3 linked regions of the Yarrowia lipolytica genome follow. The protein of the gene in region 3 interacts with the protein of the main gene of each other region in a pairwise test. Links are inferred from orthologs where the notes say so. Each region holds a gene or a part of one and is shown on either strand. Other genes may lie near its edges.

The links.
Region 1: the proteins of YALI1_D11614g (region 3) and YALI1_B04321g interact in binary tests that used the Saccharomyces cerevisiae proteins (3 or more experiments, as listed by UniProt). The link is inferred for Yarrowia lipolytica from reciprocal best matches to the Saccharomyces cerevisiae genes RPT5 and RPN1.
Region 2: the proteins of YALI1_D11614g (region 3) and YALI1_D04772g interact in binary tests that used the Saccharomyces cerevisiae proteins (3 or more experiments, as listed by UniProt). The link is inferred for Yarrowia lipolytica from reciprocal best matches to the Saccharomyces cerevisiae genes RPT5 and RPN10.

What each region holds. Positions count from the first base shown.
Region 1 is NC_090771.1:430,282-435,691, forward strand, and holds YALI1_B04321g (uncharacterized protein), read left to right. Parts: upstream 1-1,878; coding exon 1,879-4,818; downstream 4,819-5,410. Other genes in the region: YALI1_B04309g (uncharacterized protein), read right to left, coding at 256-663, 754-861; YALI1_B04370g (uncharacterized protein), read right to left, coding at 5,107-5,410.
Region 2 is NC_090773.1:476,561-479,835, forward strand, and holds YALI1_D04772g (uncharacterized protein), read right to left. Parts: upstream 1,608-3,275; coding exon 1,600-1,607; intron 1,551-1,599; coding exon 1,354-1,550; intron 1,309-1,353; coding exon 730-1,308; intron 666-729; coding exon 589-665; downstream 1-588. Other genes in the region: YALI1_D04789g (uncharacterized protein), read left to right, coding at 2,399-2,842. UniProt on the Saccharomyces cerevisiae protein: Multiubiquitin binding protein.
Region 3 is NC_090773.1:1,159,634-1,163,406, forward strand, and holds YALI1_D11614g (uncharacterized protein), read right to left. Parts: upstream 1,790-3,773; coding exon 548-1,789; downstream 1-547. Other genes in the region: YALI1_D11623g (uncharacterized protein), read left to right, coding at 2,714-3,442; YALI1_D11633g (uncharacterized protein), read left to right, coding at 3,749-3,773. UniProt on the Saccharomyces cerevisiae protein: The 26S proteasome is involved in the ATP-dependent degradation of ubiquitinated proteins. The regulatory (or ATPase) complex confers ATP dependency and substrate specificity to the 26S complex.

The sequences.
Region 1 (5,410 bases), on a different chromosome or scaffold from region 3:
TACATAGTGGAAAGCAGAGGCTCTCCAGTTCATGACTGGTGTTGTGCTACAGTATGTACTAGGCATACATATCAAACTAGTACCTCACGTGATATGAGCACTGTGTATTGAATAAATACCCCACACACTCGGACTCATCACCCATGCCCGGCTTCCCCTGGTGTGTGGATATGCTGTCAGTTCACGTAGCTTACCTCGCGTGACTGACTAACAGGATACTTGGTGCCTTTGGCAGTGCCGTTGATTACCAGCTGTCTACGGTCTGGAAGTAGCGACAGTACCGCAAGCCTTGCATGTTCGCTTTTCAATGTCACCGTCAAAATCAAGAATGGCCTCCTTAATCTGGGTGCCGAGATCGACGAGCTGGAACGAGTTCTCAAACACAATCTCTCGGCACTTTTCGTTAGGACAGTACCATCGCAGAGCGTCCTTCATGCCCTCGGGACGGTCCTGTTCAACCACAACACCAATGGTGTCGGCATATCGAACGGGGTTGTGGGGCACGTTGGCGGGGAGCAGGAAGATATCGCCCTCGTTGATAGTGATATCTCTGAACTCTCCATCGTCCACCACCTTGAGAGTCATGTGGCCCTTCTTCTGGTGGAACCATTCAGGGGTCTGGTTGATGTGGTAGTCAGTTCGAGCATTAGGTCCTCCAACGATCTGTGTTAGTTGATTGGGCAATGGCAAATCACAATAGTTGTGAATCATCTTCCCCAGCTGGATCATTGACTCATGTCATAAATCACTCACCATAACAGTGTAGCCTCCTCGCTGGATACAAAAGTTGTTAACCGGAGGCTTCAGCAGGTGCTGGTTCTCCTCGAGCCACTTGGGCAGATTGATTGGTTCCTGGAGCATGGGTGACGAGTGGTGAGATGTACTGGAAAAGAAGAGCTCACGCCATATTCTATATGCCATGTATGTGGGGCGAATAAACTCAGACAATCATGTGGGGGTGGAGGGAGTATATCTTAGTGTTGAGGAGATGATTGAGAAACTGGACTATGTAGATGGGATTTTCTTGCCTGAAATATTCATTTGACGGTTTCAAAATAAAAAATGGACCCCTTCTCGCCCCAAAATCAGCTTTCGGAGTTATGTTAATCTCCGTAAGCATGCAGGATTCATATGCACTTAATCAGTAGAGACCCTTGATTATGTTAACCAAGTCTGCGGTAGACCAGCAGGTGGGCAGACAAGAGTTGGATTTGTTAATGAGGTTTTAGAAGGTGCGGCAAAGTAGTGATAGCCACTGGCTGACACTTGTGAGCTAAAGTGGCCATGTATGGGGTCAGATACACAGCCACTGTATCAAGTGTTACAGTACACGATGTTCTGGTAGCTGTCTATTCCAAAACACCTCCACACCTTCAAAGCTCTTCAATTGTGCGCTCTCATTTTAGCAATCGAATTGGTATGAGCTTTGGGCGCAGTTTATACGCTTTTGCGATGCTTTCGGTTTCTCTGGTCATGTAATCTGGTTGGATATGATGCAAAGAACGGCAACATGTACAGTATTCACCGATCCAAATCAAACACATCAGGATAACCACACCAGTTAGCTTATGTAATCATGATCCCAACAGAATCCCCAGCAGGGGTGCTTTGAGGCACAAGTCGACAAGTTGTCTTAAGATTACAAGAATATAAGTATCTCGATCCAGTCAAATCAGTCAAATCAGTTTAATCTCATTCTACCAACCCATTCAACTACACCACCGCCGCTCACGTCCCATCCACTCGTACCCACCTGCAAATCGAACTCGCGCCACCTCCCAATAACCTTCTTTAGGCTTCTCACAACCACATCCACATACAAGTAGACGTCATTGGAATTGCCACTGATCTCTTTACCACCCGACATCGATCTCAATCATGGCTGCCAAGGACGTGACTAATAAGCCGAGCGACAAGTCGGCTGAGAAGACCGTCGACAAGACCGCCCCCAACGACAAGAACAAAAAACCAGCCCGAAAGGATGAAGAGGAGCTGTCTGAGGAGGACGAGAAGCTCAAGTCGGAGCTGGAGATGCTGGTTGAGCGTCTGACCGAGAAGGACGAGTCTCTGTACGAGCCCTCGCTCGAGGCTCTCAAAAACTTCATTCGAACCTCGACCTCGTCCATGACCGCTGTGCCCAAGCCTCTCAAGTTTCTGCGGCCCCACTACCCCCAGCTTGCTGAGCTCTACGACACCTGGACCGATGCCAAACACAAGCAGCAGCTCGCAGACGTGCTTTCCGTCCTCGCAATGACCTACTCCGGCGACGGCAAGCGAGATGCACTCAAATTCCGACTCAAGTCGACCACCGACGATCTGGGATCTTGGGGACACGAGTATGTTCGCCACCTTGCTCTGGAAATCGGCCAGGAGTATCAATTGCAGCAGGTTGAGACCAGCGACGATGCCAAGGAGGGCGTAACTCTGGACACCCCCAATTCTGGTGTTGGATCGCTCACCGACGTACGAAACCTGGGCATCAAGCTGGTACCCTTTTTCCTCAAACACAACGCCGAAGCCGACGCCGTGGACTTGTTGCTGGAGATTGAGGCCGTCGAGCATCTACCTAAATTCGTTGACGAAACCACATACGCCCGTGTTTGCCATTACATGGTCGCCTGTGTGCCCCTGCTGGCACCCCCAGATGACGTGGCCTTCCTACACACCGCTTATGCTATCTACCTGGCCCACCGCCAGCTGACCCAGGCTCTGGCCCTGGCGATCCGTCTGGATGACATGGAGCTCATTAAATCGGTTATGGATGCTGCCAGTGGCGACGATTTGCTGCAGAAGCAGCTGGCGTTCATTCTAGCTCGACAAAAGTGCTACTTTGATGTGGCTGACGAGGGCGTACAGGAGTGCATGTCCAACGCCCTGCTGGCTGACCACTTCCGATACCTCACTAAGGAGCTCAACCTGCTGGAGCCAAAGGTTCCAGAAGACATCTACAAGAGCCACCTGGAGAACTCAAGAGACATCATCATGTCGGGGGCCTTTGACTCTGCCAAGCAGAACCTGGCTGCGTCGTTCGTCAATGCCTTTGTCAATTGTGCTTACTCGGCAGACCGTCTGCTGACCAATGGAGGTGCTGAGGATGATGGAGACGCTACTGCTGGAGGAGCATCTGGTGCCTGGATCTACAAGACCAAGCTCGCTGGAATGTACTCCACCACAGCCTCTCTGGGATCTCTGTTCCAGTGGGATCTCAGTCGAGGTCTGCAGCAACTCGACAAGTACGCCTACTCTTCCGAGCCCCAGATCAAGGCTGGAGCTCTTCTGGGTATGGGTATTGTCACTGCTGGTGTCTACGACGAGACAGACGCTGCTGTCGCTCTTCTTGCCGACCACATCACCGAGGAGCCCTCAGCTGAGAACAACAACGGCAACGCATACAACTTGAACCAGCTTTCTGCTGTGATGGGTCTGGGTGTTGCATACGCCGGATCTCGACGGACAGATCTTCTGGATATGCTCCTGCCTTTGGTTCAGGACACTGACACCTCCATGAAGACCTCTGCCATGGCTGCTCTTGCTCTGGGACACATCTTCGTCGGCTCTGCTAACGGAGACGTCGTTTCTGCTCTGTTGGGATCTCTGCTTGAGCGAGATGCCATCCAGCTGTCTGACAAGTGGGCCCGATTCATGGCTCTGGGTCTTGCTCTTTTGTTTATTGGCAAGTACGAGGAGATTGAGGAGGCAGTTGAGACTGTTCGAGCCATTGACCATCCTCTGGGCCGAATCTGCGAGACTCTCATCACTGTGTGTGCCTACGCCGGTACTGGTAACGTTCTGCAGATCCAGAAGTTGCTGCATGACTGTGTTGGAGAGAATGTTACTGAGGGAGAGGCTGACGGAGAAGGCGATGGTGAAGGTGAGGGTGCTGAGGGTGCTGTTGCTACCGCTGAGGGTGCTGAGGGTGCTGCGGATGCTGCTGACGCCATTGACGCTACCGCCGAAGCCGTCGCCGCCGAAGGAGAGGCTGCTGCTGATGCTACACAGGAGGTGGACTCGGAAGAGGCCTCTTCTCACCAGGCATACTCTGTTCTTGGTCTGGCCATTGTTGCAATGGGTGAGGAAATTGGCCAGGAGATGGTTCTCCGACACTTTGGTCATCTCATGCACTACGGCGATGCCCAGGTGAAGCGAGCTGTTCCTCTTGCCATGGGTCTGGTGTCTGCTTCCAACGCACAGATGCGTGTGTTTGACACCTTGTCGCGATACTCACATGACGCCGATATGGAGGTTGCTCTGAATTCCATCTTCTCCATGGGTCTGGTGGGAGCGGGAACTAACAACGCCCGTCTGGCCCAGCTGCTCCGACAGCTCGCCTCCTACTACTCTAAGGATCCCGACGGACTTTTCACCGTCCGAATCGCCCAGGGTCTGCTCTATCTGGGTAAGGGTACTCTTACTGTGTCTCCTTTCCATACCGATCGACAGATTCTGTCCAAGGTGTCTCTGGCATCGCTGGTTACCCTTCTGGTGACCATGATCGACCCCAAGTCGTTCATCCTAGCCGACAACCACTGGATGCTCTTCTGGCTCACTAACGCCATTCGTCCCCGCATGCTCATCACTCTGGACGAGAAGCTGGAGCCTATCAAGGTGCCCGTGCGAGTCGGACAGGCTGTGGATACAGTCGGTCAGGCCGGAAAGCCCAAGACCATCACCGGCTGGGTCACTCATAGCACTCCCGTGTTGCTGAGTCATGGCGAGCGAGCCGAGCTGGAGGACGACGAGTACATTCCTCTGGCCTCGTCTCTGGAGGGCGTTGTCATTCTCAAGAAGAACCCCGACAGAATGGATGAGAGCAGTTAGCATACTCTGATAGGTATGGAATGAATAAATGGAAATGAATAGTAGGATACAGCAATAAATGGCAGGAGCGTAGTAACGGATGTACAGCCGCGATTTGATCTATTCTAAAGTCAGTAATAGTTATTCAGATTCTATAGCGTAGCTACAGTACAAGTGACAGTACGACGATACTCTGAACTGTAGGTAATTTCAGATGATTATTCTATACATACATTCGTACCGTAGTAGTTTCGTGGTTCATCATAATCCATCGCTGACCACAGACAATAACAGGTTCGCTCACATCGTCTATTTGTTCTGTGTGATCGACTCCTCCATCTCCGCAACCAACTTCTTTCGGTCGTCCACTCTCTCCTTCTCCTCGATAGCCTTACCCTCCCATCTGCTCCAGATGAGCTGTTCACAAGAGTTGATGCTGGCTCTGGCCTTCTCAAAAACTGCAACAGAGAAGTCGCTGCAGAGAGCGTCCCAGGTCTTTTGCAGCTTGAAACATCCCCAGACAATACCAAAGGCTGCGATAGAGCCCATGTTGTAAAGAGAAAGGTCGTAGAGGTATACTCCAAGAGCAGGAATGATGACTGTAGGAAGCTGG
Region 2 (3,275 bases), about 680 kb from region 3:
ATTGTTAGTATGAATCACAATCCCCTCCCTCTTACTACTTGTACAAGTACAGATCAAAGCTCTGATCCTACTCTTGTGTACTGGTACTTGTAGTTGACAGAAGAGACAACAGCGGCATTTGGGCCCACCTCATGTTAATCCAAATAGCTCTTTCTATATGAAGATCTCAGGTCATCAATTGATCCGTCAAAGGCTATCCATTGATGTTCTTGGTGGTACGCATAACTACAATTTTCTTCTGATAGAGGACATTTCCTCCTCAAACACATGTTTAATGGATTCTACATACAATAACTCATATAAACCTCGGACAGAACTGGGAAGAGCATGATTATATTCCTGCCATCGAGAATCGCCAACGGTGTCAGCAGATAAGGTACAGCCCCGCATCCCTTAATGAGCAAGCTAATTATCCAATCCATCACAACCACGATAAAACAACCAGAGTAGCTCAGATACACAGCATCTACATGTTCACAGCTACACCACACCACCTCAATTCCCCTCGTGCTTGCACTCAGAGAACTTGCATTCATATATCATTGATTCCTACCTATCCTAGGGCTGCACTTCTAAGGTGCGTATGGATTAGTGCAGGGTGGACGAAGTCGATCTTGTGATTATAACACATGATCTGTGTCTACCAATTCCTTCGTCGCATCGCGCTCAGTCGCCCTAGTCGCCTCTCAATTGTGCTTCACATATTTCAAGCGTGCTTCGATTACGCACTCGTATCCATCTTGTCGTCATCCTTCTTGTCCTTACCCTTGTCCTCTCCACTTGCATCCTCATCTTCCTTCTTCACGTCCTCTTCCTTAACCGAATCCAGCTTCTCGGGCTGCTCCTTCTCCTTCTCCAGTCGGGCCTTTTCGTCCTCCAGCGACATTCGCAGCGCCAGAGCCAGCTCGGGATCCACGCTGGGGTCCACACCAAACTCAAAGTCCGCGTCGTTGGAGCCGCCAGGAGCGCCGCCCATGCCCGAAGTATCCATTCCGTCGTCGTCTTCCTTGATGATGGGAGAGTTGCGCAGAATGTCTGACAGCAGATGAGGGCCAGGGGGGATGGTGACCAGGTGAGAGTTGTCGCCTGAGTTGACGGCCTCGATGAACTTTTCCAGCTTCTCTGTGTTTTCGCCCTCCTCGCCGAAATTGACAAAGTCCACCGCCACGCTGTTCTTCTTCATCTTCTTGGCAAGCTTGACCAGTGCCTTGACGTCCTCCTCGACCGGCGATCCCACAAACACAATCACCCGTTGCCGCTGCAGCTTGTTGAGTCTGTGTTTGAGAGCCAGCGCGGCCACCTGAATGCCTGTGGTGAGGTGGGGAGCACCGGTGATATGAGTGTCGTGGATACCGGCCAGAATCTTGCCGTGGTCTGTGGTGAGGGTGGCAAGCACCTCAGGACCTCGGCCGCCCATGCTCATCAGACCCACTGCGCTCTCAGGGTTGCGGTTGGTCTTGATGGTGAAGAGCTGGTTGACACAGTCCACCTGGGCATCGAACCGGTTGGGGGTGTAGTCTCCGTTTCGCATGAACTCGGAGTTGTCCATTCTGTGTTAGCGGGGTGTGGATAACATCATTGGCCGTCGGTAATACTCACACTATCATTGTTGCTTCCAAAACCATCGTGATGCGCTTCTGTTGTGTCTTGTTGTGTGGTGTGTAGAGTGGTGATCTGTGGCAATGGTTATAGTGGTTGGGACAGAGTGCTGACGTCAGCGGTGATAGAGTTTGGACAGTAGGCGATTTGCCACCATATCAAGTGTGGCGGATTTGGGCTGGTGAGAGCGGAATTTGCACTATCTTTGGGGAAAAGTTGGATATATTAGTTACTTCTTTTAAAAACCCGATCGGAGTACTGGAAGTCGAGTTATGGGAGAGTATTGAGGGTAGCAATGCTCAACTGTTGCCCTAAACAATACTGAGTTTAATTAGTTAGCTTTAGTTGGAGACAGAATCTTCAAAAAAGTTGTCCTAGACTGGAGCAATTTGATATTTGAGAGTCATAGCTGCTGATTGTTTCCTATTTTGATTATGTTTTTTTTTATATCTTCTTACTCAACAGTCATCTGGACCACTTGTGGCGCATAGCAATGATGTCCCTATTGTCATATTGAGCTAATGGGACCATTATCATCAGATCTCCCTCGTAAAATGCGGTCGGTAAATACAATATAGAGACTTTGGTATATCAAAATGATTGTCTTTGTCAGCTTATTCTGATTGAGTCACTCGTTTCTCAATTTTTTGCTTCTTTCCAACGGAACCAATCTTCCACAAACCAAGCCCTTTCATCTTCTCACCTCATTTGCTGACTAATCAACATAAAGTTTTGATATTATAACCTTAATCATATATCCCAGCGTAACCGGGGCAACGTAGATAAACAGAGGATCGGCATGACAACTTCACCAGCACACAGCACTCAACACACATCACCGACATTTTCCACTTTCACTATGCCCACGGAAATGGACCAGTTTCCTAGCAACATGGCCCGCAAGCCGCTGACTGAGGTCCAGAAAAACGACCTCATTGAAAACCTACAGCTCGAACGTGAGTATAGGGACTCCATTCAGAGGGCACAACATACAAACAGACTCGGTATTAACACAGTCACCAACAGAATCGAGCGACTCAAGTCGCAATATCAATTTGCTGCGCAGGCGGTTCGCGCCAAAATTGAAATCAGAAAGACCCGCGTGCCCAAACGGTACTGGAACAAGACTTTACGGGAGGTCCAAGCTCTGCAGGATGGAGCCCTCAAGGACAGAAAGCCAAACAAGTTGAATTTCGGCCAGGGATTCCACAACATTCCCAAGTTCACAATTCCCCATGAGTGAGTGTGGTTAGGAAAGGTGGAGAAGGTGGAGTTTTATGCGGATTGTCATTATACCTGGTTTTTTCTGACTTTGTCTGATTATGAAGATGTCAAATCAGAAGAAATTGGGAATAAATAAATGGGAAAGTCACTCAAGAAGGAGGAAGTTGATACCTACAGTGCTTCTACAAGCGGTTGACATGATATTTACACGTCTAGAGTTTCTGACATGTCAGTTTGTATGTATCACTACTCAGCTGCACAATCTGTCTACAGGTACAGTATTTGTACATTCAGCCAGTGCTTCCTCTGAACTCAACTTGAGAAGTTGTTGTCTCCTCGTGACTTACGGCCATTCACTACATTAAATTAACTAACCCAGCATGACCACACCCATGGATTTGGACGCTCGGCTTAACACAAAGTCGCCAATTCGATCCCCTGGCAAGTCGCTG
Region 3 (3,773 bases):
ATGCTCGTGCCAAGTCCCAACGGTCGTGTGTTTTGTTTCTGTGTCTGTGGGCGTTTGTGCGCTCTCGGTCTCGTCGTATTCAGCCCAGTTGTGTTCCTGTCGACTATCGTAAGTGGAGATGCAAACTGGAGCGTAAACTTACGGTTTGGCCAAGACGAGCGTGGTCTATGCATGTTCCCTTTGACAACCGGAGCTAAAGTGAAGTATAACGACATACCACGCAATCGTTTAGAACCGGACCGGACAAGGTGAGGTGGACGCGAGGATGGAGACGGACAGCTTATTATATAGATGTCAGTTGTGTTTGTGTCTTTTGCTTCTTGTTTGAGAGCAAGGACTGTTTTTTTTGTTTTTATTTTCCACTGATCTCTGAAATAAGAAGGGGCTTGTTCCCTACGAAATGACATCATAAATAAAGCATGTTTTCTTAGTGAGAAATCATGTTAAAGCGTTGAAAAATCGCAAACCACGGGTACAGCATTTATACAGGTGTCTTTGCAGCCTCTCACGACTCGTACAATTTCATCAGATTAGGTATATAACATACTTATGCATAGAAAGACACGGACTTGGACTTTCGTGCCTGGACCTCGGTGATGGCCTCAACAAAGTCCTCGTGGGTGATCTTGTTCTTGCCAGACCGAAGCGCAATCATACCCGCCTCCACAGTCACAGCCTTGAGCTGTGCTCCGTTGAACTCGTCGGTAGATCGTGCCAGCTCCATCCAGTTGATGGAGTCGTCGCAGGTCATCTTTCGCGAGTGGATCTGCAGAATGTCGGCTCGTGCCGATTCGGAAGGCAGAGGGAACTCAATCTTTCGGTCAAGACGTCCGGATCGAAGCAGAGCGGGATCCAGCACATCGACTCGGTTGGTGGCGGCAAGGACCTTGACTCGGTCGTCGGATCCGAAACCGTCCAGCTGGTTGAGCAGCTCCAACATGGTTCTCTGCACCTCTCGGTCTCCGGACTTGTCCGAGTCGAATCGCTTCGTTCCAATGGCATCCAGCTCGTCGATGAAAATGATGGTGGGGGCCTTCTCCTTGGCCAGAGCAAAGGCGTCTCGCACCAGCTTGGCACCGTCACCAATGAACATCTGAACCAGCTGGGGCGCAGCCAACTTCAGGAAAGTGGCGTTAGATTGGGCGGCACAGGCTCGGGCCAGCAGAGTCTTTCCGGTTCCGGGAGGGCCGTACATGAGAGCGCCCTTTGGGGGCTTGATGCCGAGTTGCTTGAACTTTTCAGCCTGCTTGAGAGGCAGTACCACGGCCTCCACGAGCTCCTCCACCTGCTTGTCAAGACCTCCAATGTCTGCGTAGGTTTCCTTGGGCTTTTCGTCCACCTCCATGGCCTTGACTCGCGAGTCGTACTCTGCGGGCAGGGTGTCCAGAATCAGAAACGAATCCTTGTTGACTCCAATCAGATCGCCGGGCTTGAGAGTTTCAGGATCGACGAGTCCCACGAGCGGCAGAAACACCGTTTGTCGGGTGGACGTTTTGATGACAGCAGACTTGCCGACTCGAGACGCCTCCACGTCAACATTGGCGCCCTCCTCGGCCACCTCGCCCTCCATGTCCAGCAGCTCCACCACGTTGCCAACCAGATACGGCAGCACCTTGTTGTTTTCAATCTTGTCCGCGTTGTCCTTGATCTTCTCGTTCATGGTGTTGCGCTCGTGGCTGAGCCGCTGGAACTCGGACTTCATGATTTTGATTTCATTCTCCAGAAGCCGTTTGCGGTTGAGAATGTCTTGGGTCGAGTTGGACGCAATGTCGAAATCTAGGTCTTCCATTGTCACGGGCAGAGTCTTATGTGTGCGTAGCGGTGGTGTCTAGAATAAAAAGTGCGGGCACAGAGCTAACACGGATTGTGATGATGGTCTAGTTGGAGTGTTGGTTGTGAGCTGAGAGAGGTGCCCTGCGGTGATGTGGTGGACACACTGTTCGAGAAACCTTAATTGCCACTGAAGTGGTAGAGCAACACTGGACACCAAAGGAAGACTGTCGCAGACGATCTAGAGACGCTATCGAAAATCCAAAGACACAGCTCGACGTAAAATCACGTGATTTCGTAATATTGTGTTTTTTGTTTTGGAAATACCGTCAATTGCCGTTGTTTGGATATACTCCTTTGGCTCCAAAGTTATAGCCCTCATCCAACCAACCATTAATATAATTAGTATTAATTATATATGGTTAAATCAATCAGACACACTTCTTCTTGAGTCTTCCAACACTGATATTGGTGAGTCTGTACGTCTTACGTTATCAAAAGGTCTTGATCTGGCCATTAATCACGTCACTCGTGATCTCTGATTAGTCATTATTTGTATATATGTCACAGCACGCCACCGGTTGCCACTTTTGCTTATGTCAGCGATGGCGTTGGTTGACATACAGTGGTCCAAGTGTTCTACACCGGTATGTACAAGACGAACACAGTGTCGATTATGTAAGTAAGGATCCTCTCATTTCGTTTATTAATCACCAAATCCCATTTCTGTACACAGATCAATCGTGTTGGTTTTTTTATTTTTTTTATTTTTCTTTCTTTTTTTTCTTCTTTCTTTCTTCTTTTTTCTTTTTTATTAATAATCAGTCACTATCACTATCTAAACCTAATTCAGCTATCAAGTCACTTGACTATTATGACGACGGCGTGAGCTGATCACCAAAGAGACACCATCAGTACTAATACCGTCCACCTGCCAGTTTGCATGTCACAACCGGAAGCCGCGCTCAACAAGGCGTATTCACTGGCCAAGTCGGCGCAAACGGCCGTCGCCAACAAAGACTATGGTAAGGCGATAGAGAAACACAAGGAGGCCGCTTCTCAGCTGCTACAGGCCAAGAAACTGTCCTCCAACGCGTCGGTTCAACGGGCGCTCGATACCATGTATGCGCACCATCTTGGCGAGTCGTCTAAACTCGAGGGCCTTGAGAATTCACGGTTATCGCGAATTGCAAGAATCGATGAGGAGGAAGCAGAAGAGTTGGAGCAGCAACAGCAACAGCAACAGCAACAGCAACAGCAACAGCAACCGGCGCTGGTGACAGGAGAGGTGTCGCGTGCGGACATGGATTTCGCCCAGATCATCGACCGGTTTGTCAATCTATCCATCTCCATGAACAATCAACAGGAGTTTGAATTCGACGCGCCCATGTCGGAGACGGAGGACTTGCAACAGACGGTATCGCGTCTGAAAGTGCATGTCAAAGCGCTGGAGCGGAATGCCCAGATGCGTTCCACGTCGTTGCAGAGTCTCGGTACCAAGCTACGGACGGAGCTGACGGAGCATAACGAGGCGACGATGAGAGATCTGCGGGCTGAAAACGCCCAGTTGCGGGCCGAGAACGAAAAACTCAACGCCCAGATGACAAAAATGAAATCCAAGTGGGACTCTCTTGTTCAGAATGCCTTGAACAAGCGTAAGGAGAGGGGGTAGAGGACGACGGTAGGTATGTATGGGGGATGGAATCTGCTATATTATCTGTACAACTATACTAATGTTATTTATTTATGCGAAACTGATAATTCTGATGGCTGAGGTCTGTCTGTAATCAGGTGTCTCTCCACTACAGGCAGTACTTTGATGTTGGGTAAAGAATGTCTAAAATTCAACTATTTAGCCAACTATATATTAAGTAATCCTAACTAAATGTCATTAACTGCCTACCTGCAAGACAAACTCTATTTACAATATATAGAAAGGGAACTTTTGAATCTGAAAAACCACTTTCATACACCCACAATGTCTGGACGACGACGATCTCTTT